Linked DNA regions of Lonchura striata. The protein of the gene in region 2 purifies or fractionates together with the protein of the main gene of each other region. This does not show direct contact. Links are inferred from orthologs where the notes say so. Each region holds a gene or a part of one and is shown on either strand. Other genes may lie near its edges.

Evidence for each region. The genes of interacting proteins can lie anywhere in the genome.
Region 1: the proteins of SIRT6 (region 2) and G3BP1 purify together in Homo sapiens (affinity purification with mass spectrometry; 3 studies listed by BioGRID and IntAct, with this or other methods). This does not show direct contact. The link is inferred for Lonchura striata from reciprocal best matches to the Homo sapiens genes SIRT6 and G3BP1.

The regions. Positions count from the first base shown.
Region 1 is NC_134617.1:6,071,461-6,079,048, reverse strand, and holds the start of G3BP1 (ras GTPase-activating protein-binding protein 1), read left to right. Parts: upstream 1-4,555; 5' UTR 4,556-4,674; intron 4,675-7,588. Other genes in the region: copper transport protein ATOX1, read right to left, coding at 840-915, 2,483-2,488. UniProt on the Homo sapiens protein: Protein involved in various processes, such as stress granule formation and innate immunity. Plays an essential role in stress granule formation.
Region 2 is NC_134630.1:6,748,129-6,755,643, forward strand, and holds the start of SIRT6 (NAD-dependent protein deacylase sirtuin-6), read left to right. Parts: upstream 1-4,434; 5' UTR 4,435-4,465; coding exon 4,466-4,531; intron 4,532-5,868; coding exon 5,869-5,996; intron 5,997-6,259; coding exon 6,260-6,442; intron 6,443-7,515. Other genes in the region: ANKRD24 (ankyrin repeat domain-containing protein 24), read right to left, coding at 1-111, 1,075-1,146. UniProt on the Homo sapiens protein: NAD-dependent protein deacetylase, deacylase and mono-ADP-ribosyltransferase that plays an essential role in DNA damage repair, telomere maintenance, metabolic homeostasis, inflammation, tumorigenesis and aging.

The sequences.
Region 1 (7,588 bases), on a different chromosome or scaffold from region 2:
CATTTTACCATGTGGATTTCCCAGTGCCTAACGAAGGTGAGACACTCATCCCAGTGAGAAGAACTGGACATGCAGTCTCTATCCAGTTATGTATTTTCACAAAACCCGTAGGTATACATCAACTTTGGGAGCTATGCCTCATCATCACAGGAGGCTGATACTGGCCAGCCTGTTGAAGAGTGATGGAGATACTGACAACCACACACAGAGAAAATGGAATTGTCACAGCCTGGTAATGAGGTCTGGAAGAAGTTGCAAGGCCTCTGCCTTGGTGGCTGGAAGTTGTTCTCCCTAAGAGGGAGCAGGTTCTCACAACTAACAAGTGCAGGCCAGATCCTTCTTTCTTGGGAATGCCAGCAAACAGAAGAAATGGGTTGTAATTTTTATAATTTTCCAGGTGGTATTAAAAATAGGCTACACAGACAACCACCAAACGCTCTGCTCAGCAGCTCTTCCCTGTGACTGCTGATGACACATCTGGGGAAGCACCACAGACACCCCAGGCCTCCCTGGAAACAAGGCCAGGCAGGACATTCACCTCCCTTCCCTCTGGCAGCCTGGGCAGGGGACTGCCAGTGTCCTTCCCAGAGGGTTCAGGGTGAGGCCCTGGTGACTCAGAACCACCTGCACCTGCGGCAGCTCCTCCCTCCCTTGACACTTCTCCAAGAGTCACAGACCTGCAAACCACCAGCCACTTGTTACCAGCTAAGGAGCAGCCTCAGAGCAGAGCAAGGACAAGTCTCCAACTTTCAACTTTAACCCACAGCATTATCCTTCAGGATGGAGGACCCCAGGGCACTGCCCCGGAGCCGGCTGTGGCACACCCAGCACTGACTCACCTCCCAGCCTGTGCAGGACACGGGTGACCGCATTGGAACAGCCCTCACAGGTCATGTCCACGAAGAACTCGTGTTTCTGGAAAGAAAAGAGGCAGGTGAGGGGTCCAGGGGAGCACAGCTGGAAATGCACCATGAACACTCCACACTTTCCTTTTTCCCTTGGAGAGGTTCAAAGTCTCTCAAGTCTAAAGGTCCATATGCACACCACTAAGAGGTCCTCAGCAAAACTGAGAACTCTTGGTACTGCCCCCTGTGGTGTCCTTGTGCTGTCCCCCACAGCATAATCCTGATGGGCCTTTGGAGATTGTGTGGCCACTTCCACAGTCAGTACAAACGGCCATCTCCATGGCCTGTGCTGGACTTACTCATCCTGTCCAGGGGACCCAAGGAGAAGCAAATCTCCTGCTTCCAGCTACTCGCTGTTCTGACTTAAGTCTGTGAGGTTTTCAGTGCTTCCCCATCTTTTTCTTCTTCCATCTACAGGGCTTCTGGTCCCCAACATAACAAAAATAAAAGCAAACCAGAAATTTAAGGGCCATTAGTGCTGTTTTTTCATCCCTCCACTCGGGCCCCAGCAATATCTTTACTACTTGTGAGAGCAACACTGGGTCAACAAAACGTTGTTTGTCTGTAACTAACCACCACCTTCAACCTTTGGCACCAGATAGGTCCTAATTTCCTTCTCTCGCACATGCTTTTTACTTTCCTTTAAAAAGAAAAGTAAAACTATTGTGCATTTGTTATTTGCAACCCATACTTCCTTCTATTCAGAACCATCCTGTGCCCCCTGCCACTACAAAGCCAAAACCCTCTTGGGATCATTCACCCAGGAAGGAGCTTGGGATAGAGATTGCCATTAGGTTTTTTTCAGTGTAATTACCATTTTCTTTGGTTTTATTTCCCAAAGGCCCTGAGTGCTTTGGGGAAATGTGTGAGCAGCGGGGAAGGAGGGTCCCATCAATGCTTCCCTTCTGTGTCTGAGCCCTGGGAGTTGGTGGCGGCCTGGGGTTTGGGCGAGTTCAGGACTGGGGGAGCCTCGGAATTTGGGGGACCTGCAGGATCTGGGGGAGCCTTGGGGTTTGGAGGAGCTGCAGTATTTGGGGGGCTGGGGGATTCTTAAGAGTTTGGGGGACCTGCAGCATCTGGGGGAGCCTTGGTGTTCAGAGGAGCTGCAGGATTTGGGGGACCTTGGGGGGTTGGGGCATTCTTAGAGTTTGGGGGACCTGCAGGATCTGGGGGAGCCTTAAGAGTCTGGGGGAGCTGCAGGATCTGGGGGAGCTTTAGAGTTTGGGGGACCTGCAGGATCTGGCGGACCTTGGGGGACTGGGGGAGCTTTGGAGGGCTGGGGGAGCCCTGGGGAACCAGGGGAGCAGCGAGCACAGGAGGAACTCTGGAGGTTTGGGGGAGCCTCGAGGACAGGGACAGTCGGGGGGTTTGGGGGAGCCCCGAGGGGCTGGGAGAGCCTCGGGGGATTGGGGAGCGCGGGGCGCTGAAAGAGCCCCGGGGTTTGGGGAACCTCGGGGACTGCGGGAGCTCCGAGGGTCGCGGGAGCCCCGCGCCGCCCCCGGTAGCGGGCAGAGCCCTCCTGCCCCGCCGCCCCGCCGCGTCCCCGGCCCCGCAGAGCGCTCGGGCCCCGCACCCACCGGCATGGCGGAGCCCCGATCCCCGATCCCGGATCCCGGCTCCCCGATCCCGGATCCCGGCTCCCCGATCCCCGATCCCGGCTCCGCGGTCCCGGATCCGCGGGCGCGGCGGCGGGCGCGGCGCGGAGGAAGGGGCGGGCCGTGCCTCGGGAGGCGGGGATGCCGCCGAGGGCGAGGGAAGGAGTGGGGGGGAGCTGGTCCGTGTGGAGCTCCGAAACGGGAGCTCTGCTCGCTTCCAGGCTAGGGATCGGCACGGAGAAATGGCTGCGGGAGGGAGGTGGGGAGAGCCGTGAGGATGGGGCCGGGCTGCTGAAGAAAGCTTGTTCGTCTTTTGAGATTTTGAGATTCATTGGCTTGGGAGAGCTCGGGTAGAATGGATATTGACGGCGGAAAAGGATTCTGGTCCCTGAAGATGTGTCTGCTTTCTTTTTATTTATTTATTAATTTTTTTTTTTTCTTCCCTGGCTCTATGGTCCTTTAAAGGAAAATTAAGCCCCTTTCTAAAAAAAAACTCGAGGCAAGGTGGAGTACCCGGGAGCAGCTGAGGAGCTTTCACAAGGAAGCTGGAGAGGGGACAGAGCATCACATCAGGGCTGAGAAGAGCTGGCAGAGCTGTGGTGCGTGTGACACTTCCCGAACACGTGCTGGGTTTCAGCATCTTCCCGTTGAGAAGCCCAGCCTGTAGCAGGGAATGTAACCTGCTGTTTCTTGTTTTCTGCCTCACCAGCTGGGGGTCAGGGCATTTCTTTTGAGGTGCACAGGATACTGCTGCTGTACCGATGGTTTTATAAAAGAGGAATTCCCTGCCCCGCTATTGCTCTGCAGAGGGATGTCCAAGATCCCCTTGGCAGAGTTTATTCGGGGCGGGTTGTTGTGCTGGGCTCACGTTAAACTTTGTAAAAGTCTGCAGCGCTGATTTATGAACTGGCGGATTGCAGCGTGGCTTAGTCTAAAGATAGCGAGGAGGTACTGGGGGAGGACATTACTGCGGAGCGTGTCCCCACGCCCGTGCCCTGTCCCTTGCTGCGAGGCACGGCAGGGAGGGGTTCAGGCAGCGCTCAGGGATGCGGCGGTGGGCAGGAAGTCATTTTTGTAGGGTGAAATCTGTCTCTGAGTGCTTCATGTCGTAGATACGTGTGGGGTGGGATGTGGCACAGTCAAATGGAGAGCTGTGGCTGCCTGGAAGCTGCTTTGCTCTGGCTCGCTGCCTGCTCCCATTCCCTCCTGCTCGCCGGGGTGCCTGGACCAGCAGCTGCTGGTGAGCAGAACGATCTGAGAACTTCCAGGCCTTCCTCCTTTGTAGGCGTGTTAGAAAACGCTCCCGCATGCATTATCTTTCCTCTGGGGCAGATCATGCTGAGCGTGCTTTGCTCAGAAGCTGTGAGGGAGAAGCAGCAGCTGGACGAGCCTGCCGTGATGGGCAGGGTCAGTGACCACCACTGACCACCCCGGCTCTGGGTGTGGTGGTGCCTCGGCTCCCGAGAAACTGGGGGTTTCTCTCAGTGCGTGGGACAGGCGAGCCCCACGCAGCCTGTGCAGACACAGCGAAGCGGGCGGCCGCTGCCTGTTCACTGCTGGGAGCGCTGCCTGCGCCCTCACCCCGCACGGCGCCCGCCGCCATGCCGGCGCCCGCCTCGCTCCAGCAGGGCGCGCTGCGGAGCGCGGGACGCCGCCCCGCCTGGCGCCCGCCTGCCCCTTTAAGAACCGCGGCTGGGACCTGTCCGTCAGCGCCCGCCGCGCTCTCCCATTGGCCACCGCCCCCCGCGGGTCCCGCCCCATCTATAACGGGGTTTACCAGCACCTTCTCAAGGGCGCTGCAGTGCGGCTCAACCACACTGCGGCGCCCGCCGCGCGTCGTCCCATTGGCCAAAGCGCAAGTCTATCAGCAGTTGCCCACCGCTCATTGGTTCGCCCGCCTGTCAATCACTCTCACGGCCCCACGGAGCGCTGCGGCATGGTTGGCTGGCTGTGCTGCCCCTCAGCGCTCCGCCCGCCTCCTCACGGCCGCGAGCCAACCGGCATCCGAATGAGGGCGAGCGGCGCTGTCTGATTGGCTGGGCCGCGCCCGCTGGGGTAGGCTGCGCGCCGGATATATGTAGCGGGGGGCCGAGCACGCCGCTGCGTGAGGCGCTTCTCGTCCGCCGGGCTCTTTGGTGAAGCGGCGCCTCCGCTCCCGTCCCGCTCTGCCGCAGGTGAGGGGGTGGCGGCGCGGGGAGGCACCGGCGCGGCAGCGCCTTGGCGCGGGGCCCGCGGGCCGCACGCAGCGCCCCGCTCCGAGGCGCCCCCGGCGCTCCGCAGGCCGCGGGCCGTGCGGGACGGCGCTGCTGGCGCCTCCTCCCCCTCCATCCCGCCCGCTCCCGCCGCGCTTTGTGGCGGCCGCCGGCGCCGTGCCGCGGCCCCCGTGCGCTCCGCAGCCTCCGCCCCAGCTCCCGGTGCGGCGGCGGGGCAGGGGGGCGGCGGGGGATCGGCCGCCGGCGGGCCCGCATTGTGCGCGGCGAGGTGTGCGGGGCCAGCTTTGTTCTCGGGTTTCCAGGCTCGGATGCTCCTTCGCTCGCAGGTTTTGGGTTTAGTTTTGGGCAGGTGGGGCCGGGGAGGAGCCCACCCGAAGCCCGAGGTGTGCCCGGTTAGCGGGGAACGCTGGCTGCGGATTGAGGGGCAGCGCTGGCTGCTCGCACGGCCCGGACCTGGGTAACACCTCCAGGTGCCTCCCTGGGTATAACTTTATAGGTAAAGGAAGTTAAAATTCAGGAGCAGGAGAGCATGGATCTTAACCTGGTTTACCGCATGACCTTGGCTGAATCCGAGATTAAGCCAAGCTTTAAATGCGAAGTACTGCTTGTGATGAGACTTTCCAGCATCCTGTAAGGCCCCAGATGTACGTGCTGGAGAAACCCCAGAGAAAAGGTTTCGCTACATCTTCCAGTAGCGCCTGGTGTTGATCTGGATGTTCTACCGCGTTCCTAATTCTCAGCGGGCTTACCTGGTGACCTTCTATGTTAAGGCTTGCATGAACGTAATAAGTAGTCTTTACCAAAAAAAGGATTTTTTTGTTCCACCGTCGGAGGGAAAGCAGCTTTTGCAGCAAGCCGCCATGTTTCCAGTGTGTGCTATTTTTGGCAAGCCCCTGCTCTCACAGCCAGGAGTGACAGATTTAGGAAATCTGGACACTGCTATCAAGCTTCGGAAGCTGATGCTTCCAGATGCCATAAATCAAACGTGGGGAGGGGTGTGTTGGATTTTTTTTTTTTTTTTTAGGTAACAAAGCTTATTATATTGATGTCATAAAGGGAAATGCAGAAGTTGACAGACAAAAACTGCATTTCAGACCTTTCCTGATATTTTTCCCTTTGACCAGATTTTCACTTTTTTTCTTCTCTGTCTGGTAAGGAATAAGCCAAACCATTTTTCTAGATAGCTCTGTGATACTTCCATGGTGCTGATGCTAGCATCTTCTCATCCTGTGAACTGAACTCACCTTTCCTGGGATGTTTCAGTCACCATATATAATGATGTAAAAAGTTGTGAATCTATTTTTTTTTTTTTTTTTTTTGCATAGTATATGTAGCTAATTTGAAGGTTGGCTGGAAGTATTCACGTGCTTGAAGTCTTACATCCTTATCTTCATGATGGAGATCTCACGACCTTTTTTGACAGCATCACATGTTGCAGGGACTGGTTTGCCTGAAAAGCGCTACTAAAACCTGAAGAAAGTGTAATTGTACAAAGTCTGTTAGGAAAAAAAAAAAAAAAAATCAGTCCTGGTACCTTTGCAAAAGTATATCATAATTCTATAAATCTTAAATATTTTAAAAAACCTTAAGCTTGTATACATCAGGAGGTAAAGAATGGCCCCAGTTCCTGACTGGTGTGAATTTACCTTTTTTTCTTGCTAGGTTGTGTTAAGTGTGAACTCCTTAAGTTGAAGGCAGGGAAGCATAATTAAAATTAAAGTAGGAAACCTGGTGGACAGGACTTAGTCTATGTGTGCCGAGCCCATCAGGAGATTCTGTTGGGAATCTTTGCATTTGGAGTCTGAGAAAAAACAAAAGCAGACCAGAGGATTTGTTTGTGCTGTGATGGCAGGACCACTGCTCTGCTGCTCACTCTGGTGCTGGCACAACAGCATCATCAGTAGAGTTCAACACAACTGATGGAGTTTGAACATCTGAATTTTAGACAGAATCTTTATGCAAATTATTTGTTTCAGAGCTTTGTTTTTCACCCTGCAAATTGTAAGGGAAACATACAGAGCAATACTTTTTACTGAAAGGAAAATAAAGCAAAGGTGATGTTGCTTTTGAGTACATCTTGGTAATTCTGTTCAAAACAGTAGGACCTGATGAGAGAGCACTCATAAGGTTGGCATAAATGGCCTGTTAGAAAACACTATTTTAGTTTTTAATATTAGCACCTGGGCCTTTTTGTCTGACTGAGGTGATGACTGAAGACTCAAAGAGGAAATCTGAGCAGAGCAGGGCTTCAGCAGGGTGGTGCTAGTTTCTGTGCTGGCTGTGGTCTGCTCTGCTTGGAACAAACTAAAAGTGCTAGTTTGCTGTAGAAGACTGGATGATTTTTTTTTTACAGGTTCCTATATAAAATCTGCAGACTTGAAGTAATTATTTGATTTCCTGGGGTACACCTACTAATAGTAGACTTGATTGATAACCTTAAGCTACCTCATTGAGTAATTAAAAAGGAAAACTGAAGTCTGATCCTCAGGTACTGTAAAAGAATCCTTAAACTTTGCAGGCAGTGAGAGTTGTGCTGGCTCGAGGTCCCAGTTCTGCTATATAAAGTCTGGAGCTCTTCCAGGAAGACACGGCTGGTGCAGTGCAGCTCTGGGAGCAGGAGCCTGGCTGCTGCCAGTCATGGAGGAGTGATCTGTGCTGAGGCAAATGTGCAGCACTGCACTGGAAAATGCTGGTGCCCATCTTCCATTTCCATCTGCTCTGCCCTGTGCTGTCTCCTGGCTGCTGCTGGGCTGGTTGTGTTTTGTTTTTAATGTAACAGTGCAGGGATGGGTCAGTCCCGAGTGCCAGGATACAGCTGAAACATCAAGTTTAAGCATCTTCTGTGACCTAAGTGGGTAGAGGTGAAAGAGTTGAT
Region 2 (7,515 bases):
CAGCTTGGTGGGCACCAGGCCCTTGCGGAGCAGGAGCGACGTGACCCGCCCGGCATCGTTGTAGTCCACGGCCTGCAGCAGCTTCTCGTCGTTCTTGGTCCAGTCCTGGCTCTGCAACAGGGCCCAGAGGAGGCTGTGACAGTGTCAGCTGTGACAGTGCTGTCCCCAGGGCTGGGCTGGGCTGGCTCTCCTTGTCCCCAGCCCTGTTGTGCCCCTTCCAGCCCTGTCCCTGGGGGTGGCCGTGTCTGTCCCCCTCTCCTCCGAGCTCACTCCCAGGTACGGAGAGTTCAGCAGGGATTGGGATGAAAATCCCCTCCAGTCCCCCAGTTTGCAGCTCACAGAGTGGGGGATTTACAGACACAGCCCAGTTTAGCTGTGCCAGGCTGGGATTTGGGACTGAGCCCAACTGTACAGGGGTTTGCCCCTGCCACCCTGAAATCCCAGTACTAAACCCAGTCAGAACCCATGGGAGTCCCATTCCCAGCCCTGCTTTGCTCCCGGAGGAGGAAGGGATCAAACCAGGGCGAGCACAGCTGGCAGCGAGAGCAGATCCCCAGGGATGCCCCAGCCTCCCGGGATAACGGGGCACAGCGCTGTGCCCCCCAAAACAGGACCGCAGCTGGCTGGGATTTGCTCTCCCGGTGCTCCCTGTCCCGAAGGAGGACCCGCAGTGGGACAGGACCAGGACAGGGACTGCAAGTCCCGGGTTCACCCCACAGCCCGTGACGACAAAGCGGCGCTGGCTGCGCTCGCGGTGGCAGGAAATGGATGTCACCTTTCGGGAGCCGCTGGCACCTGTCCCAAACCCGCCTGTGCCCGCCGGGTGCCCCCGAGCCCCTCCAGCCCGGTGGGACCAGGCACAGGGAGCAAACCAGTCTCCCAGGGCTCCTGGCAAACTGGGAGGGTGGTGCCCGCTCCCCCCACTCCCTGGCCAGGCAAGGACAAAGCAGGATGGGGAGGACACGGGGAGCCCCGGGATGGGGATGGGGATGTGGGGTGCAGGTGGGGCGGGGGGGACACGGCTCAGCCCGCGGGACGCGAGCAGAGGGGAGCCGGGAGGGGAGCGGGACGTACCGCGAAGGAGGCGGCGGCACAAAGGCAGATCTGCTTCATGGTGCTGAGCAGGAGGCGGCGGGAGGACGCCATGCGCCCCCCGCTCCCCGCCCCGGCCGGCACGGGCACCCCCGAGCCCGGAGCGCTCCGGCATCGCCGCCCGGGCGGGGGCCGGGGCTGCGGCAGTGGGAGCCGGACCCGCCTCCTCCGCCCCCGGCCCTCCCTCCTTCCCTCCCTCCTCAGCGCATCCCTGCATCCCTGCATCCCTGCATCCCGCCTCGGAGCGGCTCCCAGGCAGGGCTGAGCATCCTGAGCATCCTCCCGGCCCCCGATGGGGGGACCTGGGACCCCCCAAACACCTCCAGGGAGGAACCCCGAAACGCAGAGGGTCCCCAGACGCTGTCCGGGCAGTCCCGCTGGCAGCAGGACATCGGGAGCCTTTCAGGGACGTGTCCAGGGCAGTGTGGGGAAACTGAGGCATGGAGCGCCCCGAGCAGGATGGTCCCACAGACTCCGGGTGAGGGGCTTCAAGCTGTGTCCCCATGTCCCCTGCTGTGTCCCTCCCAGTGCACTGGGGACAGCGCTGTCCCCCTCTGCCCTCTGCGGCCCCATGCCAGGCTGCTGCTGAATAATTGAGGAGCATCGACAGGCTGGTTCCACGGGCTGTGGCAGCTGGCAAAGTGGCACTTGTCCCCAGGAGGGGGACAGGGAGGGGACCTGGGATCTGCTTCCCTCTCCTTTGCTCTGCCCCACTCCCAGCGATGGCTCTGGGAGCACAGGGGGTGCACTGGGGGCTTGATCCCACCAGCCAGAGTGGCAGTGCCAACTTCTGTAGGACTGCTGTCCCCGTTGTGAGCGACCACTCCGTGTCCCAGGGCAGGTCCCCGTGTCCCCACAAACACCCTGGAGCAGGTCACCGTGTCCCCACAGACACCCTGGAGCAGATCCCCGTGTCCCCACAGACACCCTGCAGCAGGTCACCGTGTCCCCATGTCCCCAGGGATGGCACTCACATCTGCCTTCTTGAACTTGGCCTTCAGGCTCTTCATGGTGGCTCAGCCTCAGCCCCGTGGCAGCTGCTCGGGAGGGATGGCCACGCTCCAGGAGGGTCTGTCCCTGCCTGGGGACAGCTCAGCGCCCCCGGTCCCGCTGCTCCCAGCCCGTCCTGGCGTTCCCAGCGCAGCGCCCGCAGCCGGGAACCGGAGCCGGGGATTGTATTACGGCCGCGGCTGCGGTTACAGCCCCGGGCAGGCGGGGGGGGGCCGGGCCGGGCCGTGTTTGGGGACAAGGGACACGGCCTGGGGTGCTGGGGAGGGCTGGGCTCTGATGGTTGGCACCCCTTGCCCATCCCAAACACCCCCCGCCCTTGGTGGCACCTCTTGTCCTGACCTGACATCCCCTTCCCCACCCTGGCAGCCCCTGGTTCTGACAGCACCTCGTGTTCTTGTCAGCATCCCCTGCTCCTCCCTGGCACCCCTGTCCTTCCCTGGCACCCCTGCTCCTCCCTGGCACCCCTGCTCCTCCCTGGCACCCCTGTCCTTCCCTGGCACCCCTGCTCCTCCCTGGCACCCCTGTCCTTCCCTGGCACCCCTGTCCCTCCCTGGCACCCCTGTCCTTCCCTGGCACCCCTGTCCTTCCCTGGCACCCCTGCTCCTCCCTGGCACCCCTGTCCCTCCCTGGCACCCCTGTCCTTCCCTGGCACCCCTGTCCTTCCCTGGCACCCCTGCTCCTCCCTGGCACCCCTGCTCCTCCCTGGCACCCCTGTCCTTCCCTGGCACCCCTGTCCTTCCCTGGCACCCCTGCTCCTCCCTGGCACCCCTGCTCCTCCCTGGCACCCCTGTCCTTCCCTGGCACCCCTGCTCCTCCCTGGCACCCCTGTCCTTCCCTGGCACCCCTGTCCCTCCCTGGCACCCCTGTCCTTCCCTGGCACCCCTGTCCTTCCCTGGCACCCCTGCTCCTCCCTGGCACCCCTGTCCTTCCCTGGCACCCCTGTCCTTCCCTGGCACCCCTGCTCCTCCCTGGCACCCCTGTCCCTCCCTGGCACCCCTGTCCTTCCCTGGCACCCCTGCTCCTCCCTGGCACCCCTGCTCCTCCCTGGCACCCCTGTCCCTCCCTGGCACCCCTGTCCTTCCCTGGCACCCCTGCTCCTCCCTGGCACCCCTGTCCTTCCCTGCCATCCCGGCCTTTGTCAGCACGCCCTGTCCTTCCCTGGTAGCCACTGCTCTGCCCTGGCACTCCTGCCCTTGCCAGCACCCCCTGTCCCTCCTTCCTTCCTTCCTTGGCATCCCCTGCTCTTGGTGGCACCTCTTGTCCATCCCTGGCACCCCTGCCCATCCTGTGTCCCCCCGGGCAGGGGTTCAGTGCAGGTGGGGCAGTGTCCGGCAATGTCGGGGCAGTGCCAGGGCAGTCCCGGGCAGTCCCGGGGCAGTGTTGGGTCAGTCCCGGTTCAGTCCCGGTCACTCCGGTCAGTCCCGGTTCAGTCCCGGTCACTCCCGCTCAGTCCCGGGTGGTCCCGGGTCAGTCCCGGTTTAGTCCCGGTCACTCCTGGTTCAGTTCCGGGCAGTCCCGGGTCAGTCCCGGGTCAATGTCGGGGCAGTGTCCCGCAGTCCCGGTCACTCCCGGTCAAGTCCCGGGCGGTCCCGGTTCAGTCCCATGTTACTCCGGGTCAGTCCCGGTCACTCCCGGGCGGTCCCGGGTCACTCCCGGTCAGTCCCGGTCGGTCCCGGCCGCGCTGAGGGCAGTCCCGGGTCGGTCCCGGGCGGTCCCGGGTCAGTCCCGGTCACTCCCGGTCGGTCCCGGGTCAGTCCCGGTCAGTCCCGGGTCAGTCCCGGTCACTCCCGGTCGGTCCCGGGTCAGTCCCGGTCAGTCCCGGGTCACTCCCGGTCACTCCCGGTCGGTCCCGGGTCGGTCCCGGGCGGTCCCGGGTCAGTCCCGGTCACTCCCGGTCGGTCCCGGGTCAGTCCCGGTCAGTCCCGGGTCACTCCCGGTCACTCCCGGTCGGTCCCGGGTCAGTCCCGGTCAGTCCCGGGTCACTCCCGGTCACTGCCGGTCGGTCCCGGGCGGTCCCGGCCGCGCTGAGGGCAGTCCCGGGTCAGTCCCGGTCAGTCCCGGGTCACTCCCGGTCACTCCCGGTCGGTCCCGGGTCAGTCCCGGTCAGTCCCGGGTCAGTCCCGGTCGGTCCCGGGCAGTCCCGGTCGGCCCCGGCCGCGCTGAGGGCAGCCCCGCCCTGCCCGGCTCCAAGATGGCGGCGGCGGCGCGGGGCGGCCCCGCCCTGCCCGGCTCCAAGATGGCGGCGGCGGCGCAGGGCGGTCCCGCGGCCCCGCCCTGCCCGGCTCCAAGATGGCGGCGGCGGCGCGGGGCGGTCCCGCGGCCCGGCCCCTCCCGGCTCTTCCGCCGCGCGGCGGCCGCGCCGATGGCGGTGAGCTACGCGGCCGGGCTGTCCCCGTACTCGGACAAGGGCAAGTGCGGCCTCCCCGAGGTGAGCGCGGCACCGCCGGGGCCGTCCCCGCCCGCCCGGGGCAGCCCCCGCCCGCCCGCCGGGCCTCCCGCGGGCCCGCCGCGTCCCCATGGCAACCGCGGCCTCGGGAACCCAGCGGGCACCGAGCCCGCCGTGTGTCCCGAGCGCATCCCGCGGCTCCCTCCCCGTCCCCCTTCCCTGGGTGCCTGTCCCCGACACCCCATGGCTCCCTGGTCCCCCTCATGTCCCCCCAGGCCGCCCCCGGCTCCCTCGGCCCCTCTCTGTGTCCCCTTCCATGTCCCTTCTCCATGTCCCCTTCCATGTCCCTTCTCCATGTCCCCTCTCCATGTCCCCTTCCATGTCCCCTTCCATGTGTCTTCTCCATATCCCCTCTCCATGTCTCCTCTCCGTGTCCCCTTCCATATCCCCTCTCCTTGTCCCCTTCCATGTCCCCTTCCATTTCCCCTCTCCATGTCCCCTCTCCATGTCCCTTCTCCATTTCCCCTCTCCATGTCCCCTTCCATGTCCCCTCTCCATGTCCCCTTCCATGGCCTCCCTGACCCCACCCTGGTCCTTCCTTCTGCCCCCACAGCCCCCTTGGCTCCCTCCGTGTCCCCCCTGAGCCCCAGCAGTTTGGGAAGCCTAAAACGAGGTTTGAGGGGAGCCACAGGGACACTGCAGCCCGTCCTGAGCCCAGGGGATGGTGAGGGGACAGGGACACACAGGGTCCTGTCCTCGTCCCCGTCCCCAGAGATGGGGCTGGAGAAGTGTCTCAGGAATTAAATCCCGTGCCCAAACCAGCATCTGGTGTCCCTCGCTGTCCCTCGGCCCTGCCCTGTCCCCAGAGCTGGTGGCACTGCTGGTGACAGTGGGGCACATGTGGGGTGGCCCCGGGTGGCTCCTGGAGCCCAGCCTGGGCCAGCTGCCAGCCAGAGCAGCAAACTCCCTGTTGGTGCTGGGAGTTCCCAGCCCTGTCCCTGCAGCGAGATGCTCCAGGCAGCGTGGAGTCTCTCCTATTAAATGTTTCTGTCCTTAAGGAATGCAAAATCATTCATGGATAAGGAAGAATTGTGGGTTACTGGGCTTCTAGAATCATGGAATCCCAGAATGGTTTGGGTTGAAGAGACCTGAAGGATCATCCAGTGCCACCCCTGCCATGGCAGGGACACCTTCCACTATTCCAGGTTGCTCCAAGCCCTGTCCAGGCTGGCCTTGGACATCCCAGGGATCCAGGAGCACCCACAGCTGCTCTGGGAAATCCATTCCAGCGCTTCCCCACCCTCACAGGGAAGGATTCCTTCCCCATATAATCCATGCCCACATCTCTCCATCCCATGCTGGTTTTTGTGTTTTCCCAGATTTTTGACCCTCCGGAGGAGCTGGAGCGGAAGGTGCAGGAGCTGGCAGAGCTGATCCGGAGCTCCTCCCATGTGGTGTTCCACACAGGAGCAGGGATCAGCACGGCCTCGGGCATCCCTGACTTCAGGTAAGTCCGAGGGCTGGCAGGGTGGCACCTCCTCCAGGTCCATCTTCCTTCATGGAAAGCTCTGATTTATCCCAGACCCGCCCCATTCCTGCTGTCCGTCCTGGATCCAGCTGCAAACACCATTTTCCCTCTTGCACATCTCAGCTGTTGCCACAGAATCCCCACATTGTTTGCATCAACCCCCAGAATCCTGCTGATCCATGAGCTCTGCTCCCATGGATGGGGCACCTGGAGCCTGAGCTCTCCCTTCCTGCTCTTTCCAGGGGTCCCAATGGTGTCTGGACTATGGAAGAAAAAGGGCTCTCCCCAAAATTCGACACCACCTTCGAGAATGCCAGGCCCTCCAAGACTCACATGGCGCTGCTGGGGCTGCAGAGAGTGGGAATCCTGAAATTCCTGGTCAGCCAGAACGTGGACGGCCTGCACGTGCGGTCAGGATTCCCACGGTACCTTCCCAGCCCCACACGGGGGGTTTCATTCCCAAGGAATCTCTGCCCTCTCTGATACAGGGAGTGGAAGCTGGAAAGGGATAAACCAGCTGGAATTTAGAGGGGAGAGGTTCTGGTGCTGTTCCAGAGGGTCTTGGAATCAAATCAGCCTTGGATGTTGCTGTCTAGAAATGTTTCCAGGTGCTGTTTGTGCATAGAAAAAACAGAGATTATGGAATTATGGAATCCCAGAATGGTTTGGGTTGGGGGGCACCTTAAAGCCCATCTCATTCCCCTGTGCAGGTGTCTGTGCAGGGCCAGGGGTTGAACTCAGTGATCCTTGTGGATCCCTTCCAGCTCAGGATATTCTGTGATCCCTGGGAGCAGTCAGGGCCAGGCTGGATGGGGTTTGGAGCAGCCTGGGACAGTGGGAGGTGTCCCTGCCCGTGGCAGGGGGGTTGATCTTTTAAAGTCCTTTCCAACCCAACTCATTCTGTGATTTTATGAGTCAGGATGTGAGTGAGGAGCATCCATGTGTCCTTGGAGAAGGTGCCTCTCACAAACACCTTCAGCCAGAGCTGCCTCCAGGGCATTTCCTGTCATTACAAGCCCCAAGTCCTGGGCCCTGCTCCCAGCCCCTTGTTTGTCTGTTTAATCCAAACAACCATGGGAAAAGCAGTAGGGAATGATCACAGAATTCCATGGTGCTCCCACAGCCTGGAGCCACTGGCTCCTGTTCAGTTCAGCCCAGCTCTGCCTCCCAAGTGAAACCTGTGCTTGAGGAAGCTGAACTGGGGCCAAACTGGGGGAAATCAAGTCAGTCCTGTCTCACGCAGCCTGGAGGAAGTTCCCAGTGAGCGTGGGGCTCTGAGGAAAATAGGGAGAGCATGGCTGCGTCTTCCTCTGGCTTCTGCTCTGAGCCTGAGGGGGATTTTAGGAAAAACAGGTGTCAGAGGGCTGGAAGAGCACAGGGACAGACAGGAATGTTGGGTGCTGGAGAAACAAAGATCTGGGTGCTCCCAGGAGCAAAGATTTGAGTAGGTCAGGAGCTGCAACCAGATGGAAACACTGAAATTAAAAGGCTGGGACCT